3 linked regions of the Saccharomyces cerevisiae S288C genome follow. The gene in region 2 interacts genetically with the main gene of each other region. Each region holds a gene or a part of one and is shown on either strand. Other genes may lie near its edges.

Evidence for each region. Genes that interact genetically often act in the same process or in processes that back each other up.
Region 1: mutations in RPL28 (region 2) and TIR4 together harm fitness more than expected from each alone (negative genetic interaction), as found in Saccharomyces cerevisiae (one large-scale study listed by BioGRID).
Region 3: mutations in RPL28 (region 2) and RKM4 together harm fitness more than expected from each alone (negative genetic interaction), as found in Saccharomyces cerevisiae (one large-scale study listed by BioGRID).

What each region holds. Positions count from the first base shown.
Region 1 is NC_001147.6:342,346-346,298, reverse strand, and holds TIR4 (Tir4p), read right to left. Parts: upstream 1,965-3,953; coding exon 501-1,964; downstream 1-500. Other genes in the region: TIR2 (putative GPI-anchored mannoprotein), read left to right, coding at 1-104; YOR008C-A (uncharacterized protein), read left to right, coding at 3,218-3,442; SLG1 (Slg1p), read left to right, coding at 3,885-3,953. UniProt on the Saccharomyces cerevisiae protein: Component of the cell wall. Required for anaerobic growth.
Region 2 is NC_001139.9:309,204-316,947, forward strand, and holds RPL28 (60S ribosomal protein uL15 RPL28), read left to right. Parts: upstream 1-1,763; coding exon 1,764-1,812; intron 1,813-2,323; coding exon 2,324-2,724; downstream 2,725-7,744. Other genes in the region: VPS73 (putative sugar transporter), read right to left, coding at 1-970; YGK1 (5'-deoxynucleotidase), read left to right, coding at 2,990-3,637; SEH1 (Seh1p), read left to right, coding at 4,031-5,080; ribosome biogenesis GTPase LSG1, read left to right, coding at 5,428-7,350. UniProt on the Saccharomyces cerevisiae protein: Component of the ribosome, a large ribonucleoprotein complex responsible for the synthesis of proteins in the cell.
Region 3 is NC_001136.10:969,490-973,393, reverse strand, and holds RKM4 (ribosomal lysine N-methyltransferase), read left to right. Parts: upstream 1-1,919; coding exon 1,920-3,404; downstream 3,405-3,904. Other genes in the region: chaperone ATPase HSP78, read left to right, coding at 1-1,586; CTA1 (catalase A), read left to right, coding at 3,714-3,904. UniProt on the Saccharomyces cerevisiae protein: S-adenosyl-L-methionine-dependent protein-lysine N-methyltransferase that monomethylates 60S ribosomal protein L42 (RPL42A and RPL42B) at 'Lys-55'.

The DNA of each region.
Region 1 (3,953 bases), on a different chromosome or scaffold from region 2:
TTCAAGCCACTAGCACTGTTTCCGAACAAACTGAAAACGGTGCTGCCAAGGCTGTCATCGGTATGGGTGCTGGTGTCATGGCCGCTGCCGCCATGTTATTATAATCTCATTTTTAAATGGAATTTTTAATGTTCGTATATACCAATTTATCTATTGAATAGTTTTTTTTAAATTTTACTGTTTCTTTTAAACCTCGAATTATTGTGAGAACTGATTTCATCAACTGGAGGCTGTAGTGTACGTTTTGAAAACGGAAATGATTTACCGTTTTCTTTTATGATGATGCTAGGATAGGCACCTTCAAACATGCATGTCTTCCTGCCCACATTCTGAAAATATTTAACGATGGATGAAAGAAATCAACAATAGAAAAGGCCAGTTGTCAGTTTTTATATAATACAGAGAAGTACATATGACAGTTTAAAAGTTAAGCATTAACTGGTAAGTTGAAATAATAATATAATCATAAGCGGAACGAACATTTTCGACACGTACTAAAATCATAGTAGCATGGCGGCAACAGCAGCTAAAGCACCGGCACCCATACCGATAACAGCCTTGGCAGCACCGTTTTCGGTTTGTTCAACGATACCGGTAGTTTTAGATTGAACGCTAACAACGGTAGCAGACTTCTTAGCTTGACAGGCGGAGTCACATACGGTAACTGTAGTCTTTAGTGTAGAGAAGTCAGTTGCAGTAGAGGTACCTTCTTTGCATGTACTGCAGATAGTAGCGGTTGAAACCTTAGTAGAATTGTTGTAACCGGTGGTGGAAGCTGGAACGGCAGATGTTGAAGAGTAGTCACAGACAGTGGTTTCTTTGGTGACAAGAGTGTTGTCAGTTTCAGTAACAGTGGTACCGTTTCTGGTTGAGATAATAACGCTGGAAGCAGAACTAGCTGGGGTGGTGGTGGTTGTGGAGTTGTAAGGAGCAATGGTCGAGATAGAAGTCTGGGCAGTGGAAGAAGAGCTAGCAATGGTTGAGTTGTAAGGAGCAACGCTTGAGCTAGCAGGTCCGGCCGAAGATGAAACAACTGAGGAAACTGGAGAGGAACTGACAGCTTCAGAAGAGGAAACGGCTGAGGAAGAACTGACAGAGGAAGAGCTAACAGACTCGGTCGAAGAGGAAACAGCGGAGGAAGATGTGACAGCAGAAGAACTAGTAGCTTCGCTTGTAGAAGAAGCAACGGAAGAGCTGACAACTTCACTTGAGGATGGCGCAACAGAGGAGCTGGCAACTTCACTTGAGGATGAAGCAACGGAAGAGCTGACAACTTCACTTGAGGATGGTGCAACGGAAGAGCTGACAACTTCACTTGAGGATGGCGCAACAGAGGAGCTGGCAACTTCACTTGAGGATGAAGCAACGGAAGAGCTGACAACTTCACTTGAGGATGGCGCAACAGAGGAGCTGGCAACTTCACTTGAGGATGAAGCAACGGAAGAGCTGACAACTTCACTTGAGGATGGTGCAACGGAAGAGCTGACAACTTCACTTGAGGATGGTGCAACGGAAGAGCTGACAACTTCACTTGAGGATGGTGCAACAGAAGAGCTAGTGGATGAAGCAATAGAAGAGCTAGCAACTTCACTTGAAGATGTGGCAGCAGAACTTGAGGTAGTTAGAGAAGCATCCATTGCTTCTAATTCTGGAAGCAGTCTAGAAGAGTACCATGGGACCATAGTCAACATATGCTCAACAGCAGAAAAGTCCACTTCAGAGTACAAAGTGGTGTAGGAGTCATCACTTGGATTTGCAACCAATTGCGCAGCAATATCCATAATACCAGCTGGCATTTGGTCCAAGGAAAAACCTGAATTTGGAGTGTAGGATAGGGTGATGTAGTCGGCAATGTTGGTCTTAACATCATCTAAAACAACGTTCAATTCGTTGATTTGTGCTTGGGTTTGAGCGTAAGCAATAGCAGCAAGAGCGGCTAGTAATGTGATTTTAGAGTAAGCCATATTTTTTATGGTATTAATAAGCGAGTGAATAGGTTTTTGTTGCTGGTTTCTATCAGAACAAGAGTAGGGAACGAGATAAGTAAACGGGCTAAAAACTGATCTGTCCTAGCGATCCTTCCCTTTTTATATTCGAAAGCTTGGGATCATATCTTACTGCGTGGAAAACAAAGAATTTGCATCCTCCCTTTTGGACTATCCTACTTGTTAGAAATGCATCGTTTAGGAACCCTGTTCTATTATTTTCCGTCATTTTTTGAGAATTTCCATTCCTTCTAAAAGTGGCAGATGGGTTGTTACGAGATTTTTACTGATAATTCGCGCGCAGCGTCGCCTCTCCGCGAGTTTCAGTGTAAGCTATTGTTGAAAAGTACTTCGTTTGCCTTTTTAAGTTGCCTTTGGTTGCCATTGTTGTATCTTCAGGGTTTTCTTCGGATCACATCAGCTGTGAGAGTACGGTTAAGTTTGGAAGTCACAACTCGATTATGCCAGTTCGTAAGTGAGCACTAGATGACCTTGCTTTCCCCGTACGAGCCGGTTACGGTAGCAACTTTTGTTTTCCTTGCGCGGAGTGTATGCCTATTCTGATCTTTAAATTTCCTGAAGTGTCTGTCGTGCGCCGTAAACGAATTATTACACACACACGAATCTGGGAAACCGTGAACCCCATACATTGTCTTTTTTTTTTCACAGTCCCTTATCAGTACCGTTTGGCTAACAAAAGCATAAAATATTGTTCGTTCAGATGACCCCTTCAGTACACCGCGTTTACAGTTTCAAAGTTCCTTTTAGAATAGCACCCTGTTCGCCGGCGGATAATTTGCACGCCGTATGAAGGAAGAACATATAAAAACGCAAAATATGAGGCATAAACAATCACAATATCCTCACCTTAGAAGTTAGCCGTAGCGGTTTTCTTGCGCGTGCTTGTTTCTTTTCTTAGTTCTAAGCTTCAGCAAACCCATCCACAATCTTTCTTCAAGAACTTTATCGTGTCTACTTCATAACAACCTGCTAAACAGATTGTGAAATCGTTCCTGCTCAAGCAAGTAGTTTATGATAAATCGTCTTGTAATAGCTCGGCAAAACAACATCATATATGAAAGTGTTTCAAGTTTTTTGCCTAGTAGCAGACTGGAAATTCCACCACCTCTCTTCCAGACTTCGGTTTACATAAGAACTTAATGGTGTGTAATTTTTTTACATACTTCTGGAAGCAGATATCATCGGCCCCCAAAGTCGCCTTCTGCAAAATAATGTGGAGATCTTATCTTGTTTTTCTCTTCTTTATGACACCAAGGATACAAACATATTGTCCTGTACCGGTACTAAGGTCAATGGCAGTATTAAATATTATCTCTCCGCTTATAATTTTTGTCAGTCCTATTAAAAAGCAAGACAGTTTACACAGCAGCGCTTGTTACGCAAATTTGACGTTAGTGGAAAAGCTGCAACTTTGGCATTCTATGTCAAACGATTAGTAATATAGTTGACTACTTTCGTAGAATTCCTTCCTCAAGAAAAATTTTCTCCGCCTTTCCTCTCTGAAGATGGAAATAACGCTGCATGGGGAAGAAAATAATGTAATTTTCGAAGCGAAAGCGAGAGAAACGGAGGGGAAAAATAAAAGTGTTTGGCGTATCATAGCCTCATTTGGAAGAATTTAACGCAGTGTAGTTTTCTTGGACGATACAGTAAACTCGACCAGGCACTAACATTACAGAAAATCTCGTATTGATATTGTTATTGCTTAAAGGGTAATCAAGGTAAACAAGAAAGAAGCTCCTCGTTGTCCGTAAATTTTTTAATAAGGAGAGAGAAAAAGAGAGATAACCAAGAGGAGAAAAAGGAATCTGCATCACATTTATTCAGGATAGTACGTTGGCTGATTTAGTACTCAGGATAAAAAATTCTATTTAAATAATGAGACCGAACAAAACAAGTCTGCTTCTGGCGTTATTATCCATTTTATCGCAAGCGAACGCCTATGAA
Region 2 (7,744 bases):
GTACAATGGAGTTTATACCGCAGAATTGTTGGCCAAATAACAATACAGTGATAACATGGCGAGACTTGACATTTGTTCTGTCCCTCAAGTATTTCCATAATGAATTAGAACCGCTAATAGAGTTCGTGGTGGTTGGTTCAATCAACGGATCCCCAGATTCTATTTGCAGTTGCCAATCCTGTATCTCTTGTGCGGCTTCATCAAAAGTCACGCCACGTAGCTTACATAGAGATAACTTAGCATCGGTGACTCTTCCATGTGCTAACAACCATTTTGGAGATTCATCGACTATAAACCACATGAAAAAATTCAATACCGCGATAAGGAAGCTACCAAACAAAATCCACCTCCAACGGTATGAATCAGTCAGTGGGAGGGCTATTCCTTGTGTCAACAAGACCCCTAACCTGATACAGATTTGTGTCATCGAACCCAGTAAACCTTCCCAACCGCTTGGAGCAACTTCCTTAATGAAAAGGGGTATAATCACGATCAAAGAGCCACACGAAATACCCACTAGAATTCTACCAATGATTAAGCCCCTATAACTATTCGAATTGAAGATTATCAGCGAACCGACGATATTCAATGTGCAGTTAATTAAACTTGAGAACTTCCTTCCATAAATATTGGCCAGACTGGTGGCAAAATAAGAGCCCAAAATGCCTCCAATGCAAAAAACGGAGGTCACGATTCCAATCTGTTCATCATTCAATGGTATACATTGCTTATATCCTCTTTTTCCCAGCCATGTTCTGTCATAGGGATAGCCCTCCATGGGAATGTCAAATTCTGAGCACGAAAGCACCTGCTGAGGTGCATTTAATTCCGACAAGTGGTAACCAAATTGTATTGAACCGATTGAGGCTACTATAATTGCATAACATAACGCCTTTGTAATTTTATGCTTGTTTTGCCTTGGCATGCTAACATTGGATAGCAACGATGCACTAGATAGAATCCTATTCATACTATGCTACGTACCTGTTTAACTCTTCTCATTTTATCCGTTTTCTTTCTTCACCGTTCCTCTTAAGTTCTTTATTTTTTTCATAACAGAATGATCACCCCTTTCACTTTGCCGCCAATATAATATTAACACACAAGAAATAAGTATGAGGTAGTTTGCTCTCGAAAAAACCAAGTAATAGTTCAAAAAATGAAAAAAAGAAAACAAATACCAAATTATGCCACCGTTACCTTACGTTTCATGGTTAATCATCGTTTACTGCCGCCTATGAGCGTAAGCTAATGTTATAAAGAAACAAGCTATAATATTGTTAAATATAGTTGATCAACAGCATTGTAATGATTACAAGAGACGAGGTGGAATGAACCTTATGAAATGCGTATTATATATAAACTGTAATAAGAGCTAAGTTGAATTGAAATCTACGATACTTGATGTTGACATTATAGCACTAGTTCCCAGGAAACCCTTTCGAAAAACACAGCAAAAACAAGAGTACTGTAACCAATGTAACATCTGTACACCAGGGACCCACACATTACCAAAATCAAAATTATTTTTCTAATGCCTGTTATTTTTCCTATTTTTCCTCTGGCGCGTGAATAGCCCGCAGAGACGCAAACAATTTTCCTCGCAGTTTTTCGCTTGTTTAATGCGTATTTTCCCAGATAGGTTCAAACCTTTCATCTGTATCCCGTATATTTAAGATGGCGTTTGCTTTCTCCGTTGATTTTTTTCCTTCTTAGTGATTTTTTTGCATTAAATCCCAGAACAATCATCCAACTAATCAAGAATGCCTTCCAGATTCACTAAGACTAGAAAGCACAGAGGTCACGTCTCAGGTATGTAGTTCCATTTGGAAGAGGGAATGAAAGAACCAAGACGGTGACTTTTTTTTTAGTGTTGTGCAACCAATATGTCGTGTGTATATCATGGTACAGGAGAATGTCAATCAGCTAAGTGTACTCAACATATTTCTTTGTGTTTTGATTGCGAACTTTGTATTACCATCTCACTGTTGAGACGGCTTATTTGAGGTAATAGCTCGAGTAAATGTACTCTTCCATCGCAAACTGAGCAAAAAGAAAGTGTGCATAGCCTTTGTCATACTTCTCCTTTATTATACCATGATATTCAGAACAGTCATACTGTCTACTCATTTTACGGCTATAAAAGGTAACTTTCATTTAGATTATGGAAAGCACTAATTATCGCTGTATCAAATGGTTGTAGAGAGCGCAATTATGAAAAAGAGTTACCACGTTTCTTTTGTTTCGATAAAATGTCCAGTTGAAAACCTGTTTTACTAACGATTTAAAAATTGTATTTCATTACAATATTTTTTTTGTACAGCCGGTAAAGGTCGTATCGGTAAGCACAGAAAGCACCCCGGTGGTAGAGGTATGGCCGGTGGTCAACATCACCACAGAATTAACATGGATAAATACCATCCAGGTTATTTCGGTAAGGTTGGTATGAGATACTTCCACAAGCAACAAGCTCATTTCTGGAAGCCAGTCTTGAACTTGGACAAATTGTGGACATTGATCCCAGAAGACAAGAGAGACCAATACTTGAAATCTGCTTCTAAGGAAACTGCTCCAGTTATTGACACTTTGGCAGCCGGTTACGGTAAGATCTTGGGTAAGGGTAGAATTCCAAATGTTCCAGTTATCGTCAAAGCTAGATTCGTCTCCAAGTTGGCTGAAGAAAAAATCAGAGCTGCTGGTGGTGTTGTTGAATTGATCGCTTAAGCGCATCAACAAAAACTCTATGTATTTTCCAATAAATTATATATCTTCAGTTTAATCTAATTCAACATCTACTTCTGTATTATTTCTATCACCCATTTTCACCGTTTTTTCGTCTTGTCTATTTTGAAGTTACCAGTGGCAGATCCCAACGCTTTTATCGCTTTTTTAAAAGATTTTCAAAATCCATATATAAACATAGGGTCCAAAAAGAAAACAAATAACAAAACAAGAAAACCTATTCGAGGTAAAGACCAGGAAAAACAAAATGACTGCAGTTAACATCTGGAAGCCAGAAGATAATATACCTAGGGAGATTTTGGCAATTCTTTCGAAACCTCACCCAAATTATCAGTTAGCGTTTTTGAATATTATACAACTTTTGAAAACGCAAAGAAGAACTGGTTGGGTTGACCATGGTATTGACCCATGCGAAAGTATATCTGACCATATGTACAGAATGGGTTTAACTACCATGCTGATTACGGACAAGAATGTTGATCGTAACAAATGTATCAGAATCGCACTTGTTCACGATTTTGCGGAGTCATTAGTTGGTGATATTACACCTAATGACCCAATGACAAAGGAAGAGAAACATCGCAGAGAATTTGAAACTGTCAAGTATCTCTGTGAAAGCATAATAAGGCCCTGCAGTGAAAGCGCATCTAGGGAAATTCTTGATGACTGGTTAGCATACGAAAAGCAGACCTGTTTGGAAGGAAGATATGTCAAAGATATTGATAAGTATGAAATGTTGGTTCAATGTTTTGAGTACGAACAAAAGTATAATGGCAAGAAGGATTTGAAACAATTTTTGGGAGCCATCAATGATATAAAAACTGATGAAGTTAAAAAATGGACACAATCTTTACTGGAAGATCGACAAGCCTTTTTCGACAGTTTGAAGGAGTAATAATGTGGCCTTTTGAAAGAAAAGTTAGTGCTTTTTTTTCTTTTCTCAAACCTTCACCTGGTGGTGCGTATCATTTATAATAACATCTTGATGCTTTTCAACGAGATAGTGCCCATTTTATTTTGCATGTATTATACTTCCAGCACCCGGTGTGCATTATATGTAACTTTAGAAATAATCTTTTGTATATTATTCGCGATTGAATGTGCGTGCTGCATTATCAACCAAGTTTTAATATATCTGTTTCTCTTATTTATTGTTAGTTAAGTCTTCGGCAAAACGATGGAAAAAATCATGAACTGAATAGAGACAAGTAAACCAAATTATAAACAAGGTTTCCCTTCTGAAGAGATACTAAGGAAGAAGAAGAACGACCCAATAATATTTCTGAATATGCAACCATTTGATAGTGGGCATGATGATTTAGTTCATGATGTCGTTTATGACTTTTACGGAAGACATGTGGCAACATGCTCTTCTGATCAACATATTAAAGTTTTTAAATTAGACAAGGACACGAGTAATTGGGAACTCAGTGACTCATGGAGAGCTCACGACAGTAGTATCGTGGCCATTGATTGGGCCAGTCCAGAATATGGGCGCATCATTGCTTCAGCCTCTTACGATAAGACGGTAAAATTATGGGAAGAAGATCCCGACCAAGAAGAATGCTCTGGCCGTCGTTGGAACAAGCTGTGTACCCTGAATGATTCCAAAGGATCACTTTATAGTGTAAAATTTGCGCCAGCGCATTTGGGCTTAAAATTAGCTTGTTTGGGTAACGATGGAATCCTCAGACTTTATGATGCCTTAGAACCTTCTGACCTAAGGTCATGGACACTGACTTCTGAGATGAAAGTGCTATCTATACCACCAGCAAATCATTTACAGTCTGATTTTTGTCTCTCTTGGTGTCCTTCGAGATTTTCTCCTGAAAAGCTCGCAGTCTCTGCATTGGAACAAGCGATTATATACCAAAGGGGTAAAGACGGTAAACTTCACGTTGCAGCAAAACTTCCCGGTCATAAAAGTTTAATAAGAAGTATCAGCTGGGCTCCTTCCATTGGTAGATGGTATCAACTCATTGCAACAGGTTGCAAAGATGGTAGAATTAGAATTTTCAAAATCACAGAAAAACTAAGTCCCCTGGCCTCAGAGGAGTCTTTAACTAACTCAAATATGTTTGATAATAGTGCTGATGTTGACATGGATGCACAGGGCAGATCAGACTCAAATACCGAAGAGAAAGCTGAGCTACAATCAAACTTGCAAGTTGAACTTCTAAGCGAGCATGATGACCATAATGGCGAAGTTTGGTCCGTGTCTTGGAATTTAACGGGTACAATCTTAAGCAGTGCTGGGGATGATGGGAAGGTACGTTTATGGAAAGCCACTTATTCAAATGAATTTAAGTGTATGTCAGTAATTACTGCCCAACAATAAATAAGAATATATGTATACATAACATTATATATTGGTACTTTATACGTGTGCATTATTCTGTATAATACGAGGCAACAGATGAATCAAGAAAGATGATGCTTTTAAAAAGCTCTTACAAATATAATGATATTACATCAAATGATATTATTATTCTTGATATTGGGTATTCTTTCGAATTATATCAAGCTTCCCTTCCCTCGCCTTTTCGCCTGGAAATTTTTCAATGCCGAGATTAAAAAATTTGTCAATGAAAATGCATTCTACTACTTAATAAAGAGGTGATGAGCTTATAAGCCAACTTCTTTTAAACACAAAACTAAATCTGATATTGAGGACCCCCACCAACTATGCCACCAAAAGAAGCTCCCAAGAAATGGAAGGCGCCAAAAGGGCCAAAACCTACCCACCGTAAAAATAAAAATAAGCTTGAATTAGGCAGAGCTATTAAATATGCACGTCAAAAAGAAAATGCCATCGAGTATTTACCTGATGGTGAAATGAGGTTCACTACCGATAAGCATGAGGCCAACTGGGTTAAATTAAGATCTGTAACTCAAGAATCAGCTTTAGATGAATTCTTGAGTACAGCTGCACTGGCAGACAAAGATTTCACGGCCGATAGACATTCAAATGTTAAAATTATTAGAATGGATAGCGGTAATGATTCTGCGACATCTCAAGGGTTTTCTATGACTAATGAGCAGCGTGGAAATCTTAATGCGAAGCAAAGAGCGCTTGCTAAGGATTTGATTGTTCCAAGGAGGCCTGAATGGAACGAGGGCATGTCCAAGTTTCAGCTTGATAGGCAAGAAAAGGAAGCGTTTTTAGAATGGAGAAGAAAATTGGCACATTTACAAGAAAGCAATGAAGACTTGTTGTTAACACCGTTTGAAAGAAATATCGAAGTTTGGAAACAGTTATGGAGAGTTGTTGAAAGATCAGATTTAGTTGTTCAAATTGTAGATGCGAGGAATCCGTTGCTGTTTAGATCTGTCGATTTAGAAAGATATGTAAAAGAGTCAGATGACAGAAAAGCAAACTTACTGCTAGTTAATAAAGCAGATTTATTGACCAAAAAGCAACGTATCGCTTGGGCAAAGTACTTTATCTCCAAGAATATTTCGTTCACGTTTTACTCTGCATTGAGAGCTAATCAATTATTGGAGAAACAAAAGGAAATGGGGGAAGATTATAGAGAACAAGATTTCGAGGAAGCTGATAAAGAAGGGTTCGATGCTGATGAAAAAGTTATGGAAAAAGTTAAAATTCTGTCCATTGACCAACTGGAAGAATTGTTTTTATCAAAAGCTCCAAACGAGCCTTTATTGCCACCTCTGCCCGGTCAACCTCCACTGATTAATATTGGTTTGGTTGGTTATCCAAATGTAGGTAAATCCTCCACTATTAATTCGCTCGTGGGTGCCAAGAAAGTTTCTGTTTCATCCACGCCTGGTAAAACAAAACACTTCCAAACTATTAAGTTATCTGATTCTGTCATGCTTTGTGACTGTCCCGGTCTTGTCTTCCCAAACTTTGCATATAACAAGGGTGAGCTCGTGTGTAATGGTGTTTTACCTATTGATCAATTACGTGATTATATTGGTCCAGCAGGTTTAGTAGCAGAAAGAATACCAAAGTATTACATTGAAGCGATTTATGGTATCCATATTCAAACCAAATCAAGGGATGAAGGTGGGAATGGGGATATACCAACTGCTCAAGAATTGTTAGTCGCATACGCCAGAGCTCGTGGTTATATGACTCAAGGTTACGGTTCTGCTGATGAACCAAGAGCAAGTCGTTATATATTGAAAGATTACGTCAATGGGAAATTACTGTATGTCAACCCTCCGCCCCATCTAGAGGATGATACACCTTACACTAGAGAAGAGTGTGAAGAATTTAACAAAGATTTATATGTGTTCGACAGATTACCGGACACCAGAAAGGAGCAAGTGCAAAATGCTGCTAAGGCTAAAGGCATTGATATCGTGGATTTAGCTCGTGATTTGAATCAGCTAACGTTTTCAGCTCACACTGGTGGTGACACACAAAAAGAAGCCAAATCTGTTACGCACGGTGGTAAACAAGCTGCATTGTACAATGCCGCTGAGGACTTGGATAGAGACTTCTTCAAGATGAACAACGTCGAAGGTAGATTAAGTACACCATTCCACAAAGTTCAAAATAGTTCAGCTGGTAAGAGACATAACAAAAAAAACAAAAGTAAAAATGCGAAAAGCAAAGTTTTTAGCATTGAAAATAATTAGCGGTAACTAACATATATCTTCTCAAAAAAACTGTGTACTATTATCTTTTCATCTCGCCAATTAATGACAGCGTTATTTGAGAATAGACCTAAGATAATAAAACTATGTTCGTTACCCGGACAAATTTTCTTGGAAGAATTTTTGAGTCCTAGAGATATTATAAAACGGCCCTCTATTAATTTGCTCTTTCTTTCCTCAGTTTAATTCTTCTTTCGAATAAAAAATAAAAATATCATGGCTCTTCAACACATTTCAACATGTTCAAGTAATTTGTGTTAGTGGATGACCATTTAGGGGCTGCTGGCCTGGTTACCGGGAGTTTTTCTTGGATCCAAGCTAGCTTTTCCGTCTGATTATCCTTAAGCTTCACAAATTACAATTTTTCCCACGCATT
Region 3 (3,904 bases), on a different chromosome or scaffold from region 2:
TACTAAGAGGTTTAAAAGAAAGGTACGAGGTTCATCATGGTGTAAGGATCACTGATACAGCTTTAGTGTCTGCTGCAGTTCTTTCAAATCGTTATATAACAGACAGGTTTCTACCTGATAAAGCCATTGATCTAGTTGACGAAGCTTGTGCTGTACTACGTTTACAACATGAATCCAAACCGGATGAAATACAGAAACTGGATCGTGCTATTATGAAAATACAAATAGAACTGGAATCTTTAAAGAAAGAGACCGACCCTGTTTCCGTGGAAAGAAGAGAAGCGTTGGAAAAGGACCTAGAAATGAAAAATGATGAATTAAACAGATTAACAAAAATATGGGACGCTGAAAGAGCTGAAATTGAATCTATCAAAAATGCTAAGGCAAATTTGGAACAAGCAAGAATTGAGTTGGAAAAGTGTCAGAGAGAGGGTGATTACACTAAAGCATCCGAGTTGCGATATTCCAGAATTCCTGACTTGGAGAAGAAGGTAGCTTTAAGCGAGAAGAGTAAGGACGGAGATAAAGTAAATTTACTTCATGATTCAGTTACTTCTGACGATATTTCTAAGGTTGTTGCCAAAATGACTGGTATTCCTACAGAAACGGTGATGAAAGGCGACAAGGACCGCCTACTGTATATGGAAAATTCTTTAAAAGAAAGAGTCGTTGGCCAAGACGAGGCCATTGCTGCTATTTCTGATGCTGTACGTCTTCAAAGGGCTGGTTTGACCAGTGAAAAGAGACCTATTGCCAGCTTTATGTTCTTAGGTCCTACTGGTACTGGTAAAACAGAATTGACCAAGGCTTTAGCTGAATTCCTATTTGATGACGAATCAAATGTGATTCGTTTTGACATGTCAGAATTTCAAGAGAAGCATACTGTCTCTCGTTTAATCGGTGCACCTCCAGGTTACGTCTTAAGCGAATCTGGTGGCCAATTAACTGAGGCTGTCAGAAGAAAGCCTTATGCTGTCGTTTTATTTGATGAATTTGAAAAAGCGCACCCCGATGTTTCCAAACTACTGTTGCAAGTGTTGGATGAAGGTAAGCTGACCGATTCCCTAGGCCATCATGTTGATTTCCGTAACACGATCATTGTGATGACCTCAAACATTGGACAAGATATTTTATTAAACGACACAAAGTTGGGTGATGATGGTAAGATTGACACCGCAACCAAGAATAAAGTTATCGAAGCAATGAAAAGATCCTATCCACCTGAGTTCATCAATCGTATTGATGATATTCTAGTTTTCAATAGGCTATCCAAGAAAGTTTTGAGGTCAATTGTTGATATTAGAATTGCAGAAATTCAAGATCGTTTGGCCGAAAAAAGAATGAAAATTGATTTAACTGATGAAGCGAAGGATTGGCTAACTGACAAAGGCTACGATCAATTATATGGTGCAAGGCCATTGAATAGATTAATTCATAGACAGATTTTGAACTCCATGGCAACTTTCTTATTAAAAGGTCAAATTAGAAACGGCGAAACTGTTAGAGTGGTGGTTAAAGATACTAAGCTTGTCGTGCTACCAAATCATGAAGAAGGCGAAGTTGTTGAAGAGGAAGCTGAAAAGTAACTGCACAAGCGGTTTATGAATAATAAATTCCCAAGAAAATACATATATAAACATACACATTTCTCTTTTGTAAATAGAAGAATTAAAATAAAAGATTTTTGGTATCAAATAAACTGGATGAATGTTACATGTACCAAGTGCCCTGGCAATACAATAAAGCTATTGGTCTGGAAGTATTGATATTATTCAAATGTAATCTTCGAGAGTTACTGCGGGTAATACACACATGTGTCACATATTTTTCTCTCGAGTATGAAAAAATTTCATTACCTTTGTAAAAGCTTAATACGATCATTTCAATATGACTAGTAATAAAGGGGAAAGTTTGCGAAAATGGATGATTTTTCAAGAGATACCGAAAACTTTGTTTGCTGGTTAAAAACTACCGCTGAAATTGAAGTATCCCCTAAGATAGAAATCAAAGATCTTTGTTGTGATAATCAAGGCCGCGCAGTAGTTGCCACTCAAAAGATTAAGAAGGATGAAACATTGTTTAAAATACCTCGTAGTTCTGTTTTAAGCGTTACAACATCTCAACTGATAAAGGATTATCCTTCTCTCAAGGATAAGTTCCTGAACGAAACCGGATCGTGGGAAGGTTTAATTATCTGTATACTTTATGAGATGGAAGTTTTGCAAGAAAGAAGCCGATGGGCGCCTTACTTTAAAGTTTGGAACAAACCAAGCGATATGAACGCGTTAATTTTTTGGGATGATAATGAACTGCAACTTTTAAAACCATCACTTGTCCTTGAAAGAATAGGAAAAAAGGAAGCCAAAGAGATGCATGAAAGAATTATTAAATCAATCAAACAAATTGGTGGAGAATTTTCACGTGTAGCGACGTCCTTCGAGTTTGATAATTTTGCCTATATTGCAAGCATTATATTGAGTTACTCCTTTGATTTGGAAATGCAAGATAGTAGTGTAAATGAAAATGAAGAAGAAGAAACCAGTGAAGAAGAACTTGAAAATGAGCGCTACTTGAAATCGATGATTCCACTTGCTGATATGTTGAATGCAGATACCAGTAAATGCAACGCTAATTTAACTTACGACTCTAACTGTTTAAAGATGGTTGCTTTGAGGGATATTGAAAAGAATGAACAAGTGTACAACATATACGGAGAACATCCAAATTCGGAACTACTAAGAAGATATGGGTATGTTGAATGGGACGGTTCGAAGTATGATTTTGGAGAAGTGTTACTTGAAAATATTGTCGAGGCGTTAAAAGAGACTTTTGAGACGAATACTGAATTTTTGGACAGGTGTATTGATATCTTACGCAATAACGCCAATATTCAAGAATTCTTAGAAGGTGAAGAAATAGTACTAGATTCATATGATTGTTATAATAATGGTGAATTGTTGCCTCAACTAATACTTTTGGTCCAAATCTTGACAATTCTTTGCCAAATTCCAGGTTTATGCAAACTGGACATAAAAGCAATGGAAAGGCAAGTGGAGAGAATTGTAAAGAAGTGTTTACAATTGATAGAAGGTGCCCGCGCCACTACAAACTGTAGTGCCACATGGAAACGTTGTATTATGAAGCGTCTAGCCGATTACCCCATAAAAAAGTGCGTTTCTATCGAAAAACCTTCGAAAGGAAACTCATTAACAAGGGAAGAACTAAGAGATGTTATGGCTCGGAGAGTTTTGAAAAGCGAAATAGATTCGCTGCAAGTTTGTGAAGAAACCATCGACAAGAATTACAAGGTTATTCCTGATGAAAAGCTGCTAACTAATATTTTAAAGAGAAAGTTGACAGAGGAAGAAAAAAGCTCTGTCAAACGTCCTTGCGTGAAGAAGTGAGCGGTTGTTCTAACCACTATTTAAAGCCGCAATTAGTAATGCAAAAAGTTGGCCGGAATTAGCCGCGCAAGTTGGTGGGGTCCCTTAATCCGAAAAAGGACGGCTTTAACAAATATAAACTCCGAAAATCCCCACAGTGACAGAATTGGAGAAACAACCAGTTTTGATATCGCCATACATATAAAGAGATGTAGAAAGCATTCTTCACTGTAATGTCCAAATCGTACATTTGAATTTCTTGTAGGTTTATTTAAAAGGTAAGTTAAATAAATATAATAGTACTTACAAATAAATTTGGAACCCTAGAAGATGTCGAAATTGGGACAAGAAAAAAATGAAGTAAATTACTCTGATGTAAGAGAGGATAGAGTTGTGACAAACTCCACTGGTAATCCAATCAATGAACCATTTGTCACCCAACGTATTGGGGAACATGGCCCTTTGCTTTTGCAAGATTATAACTTAATTGATTCTTTGGCTCATTTCAACAGGGAAAATAT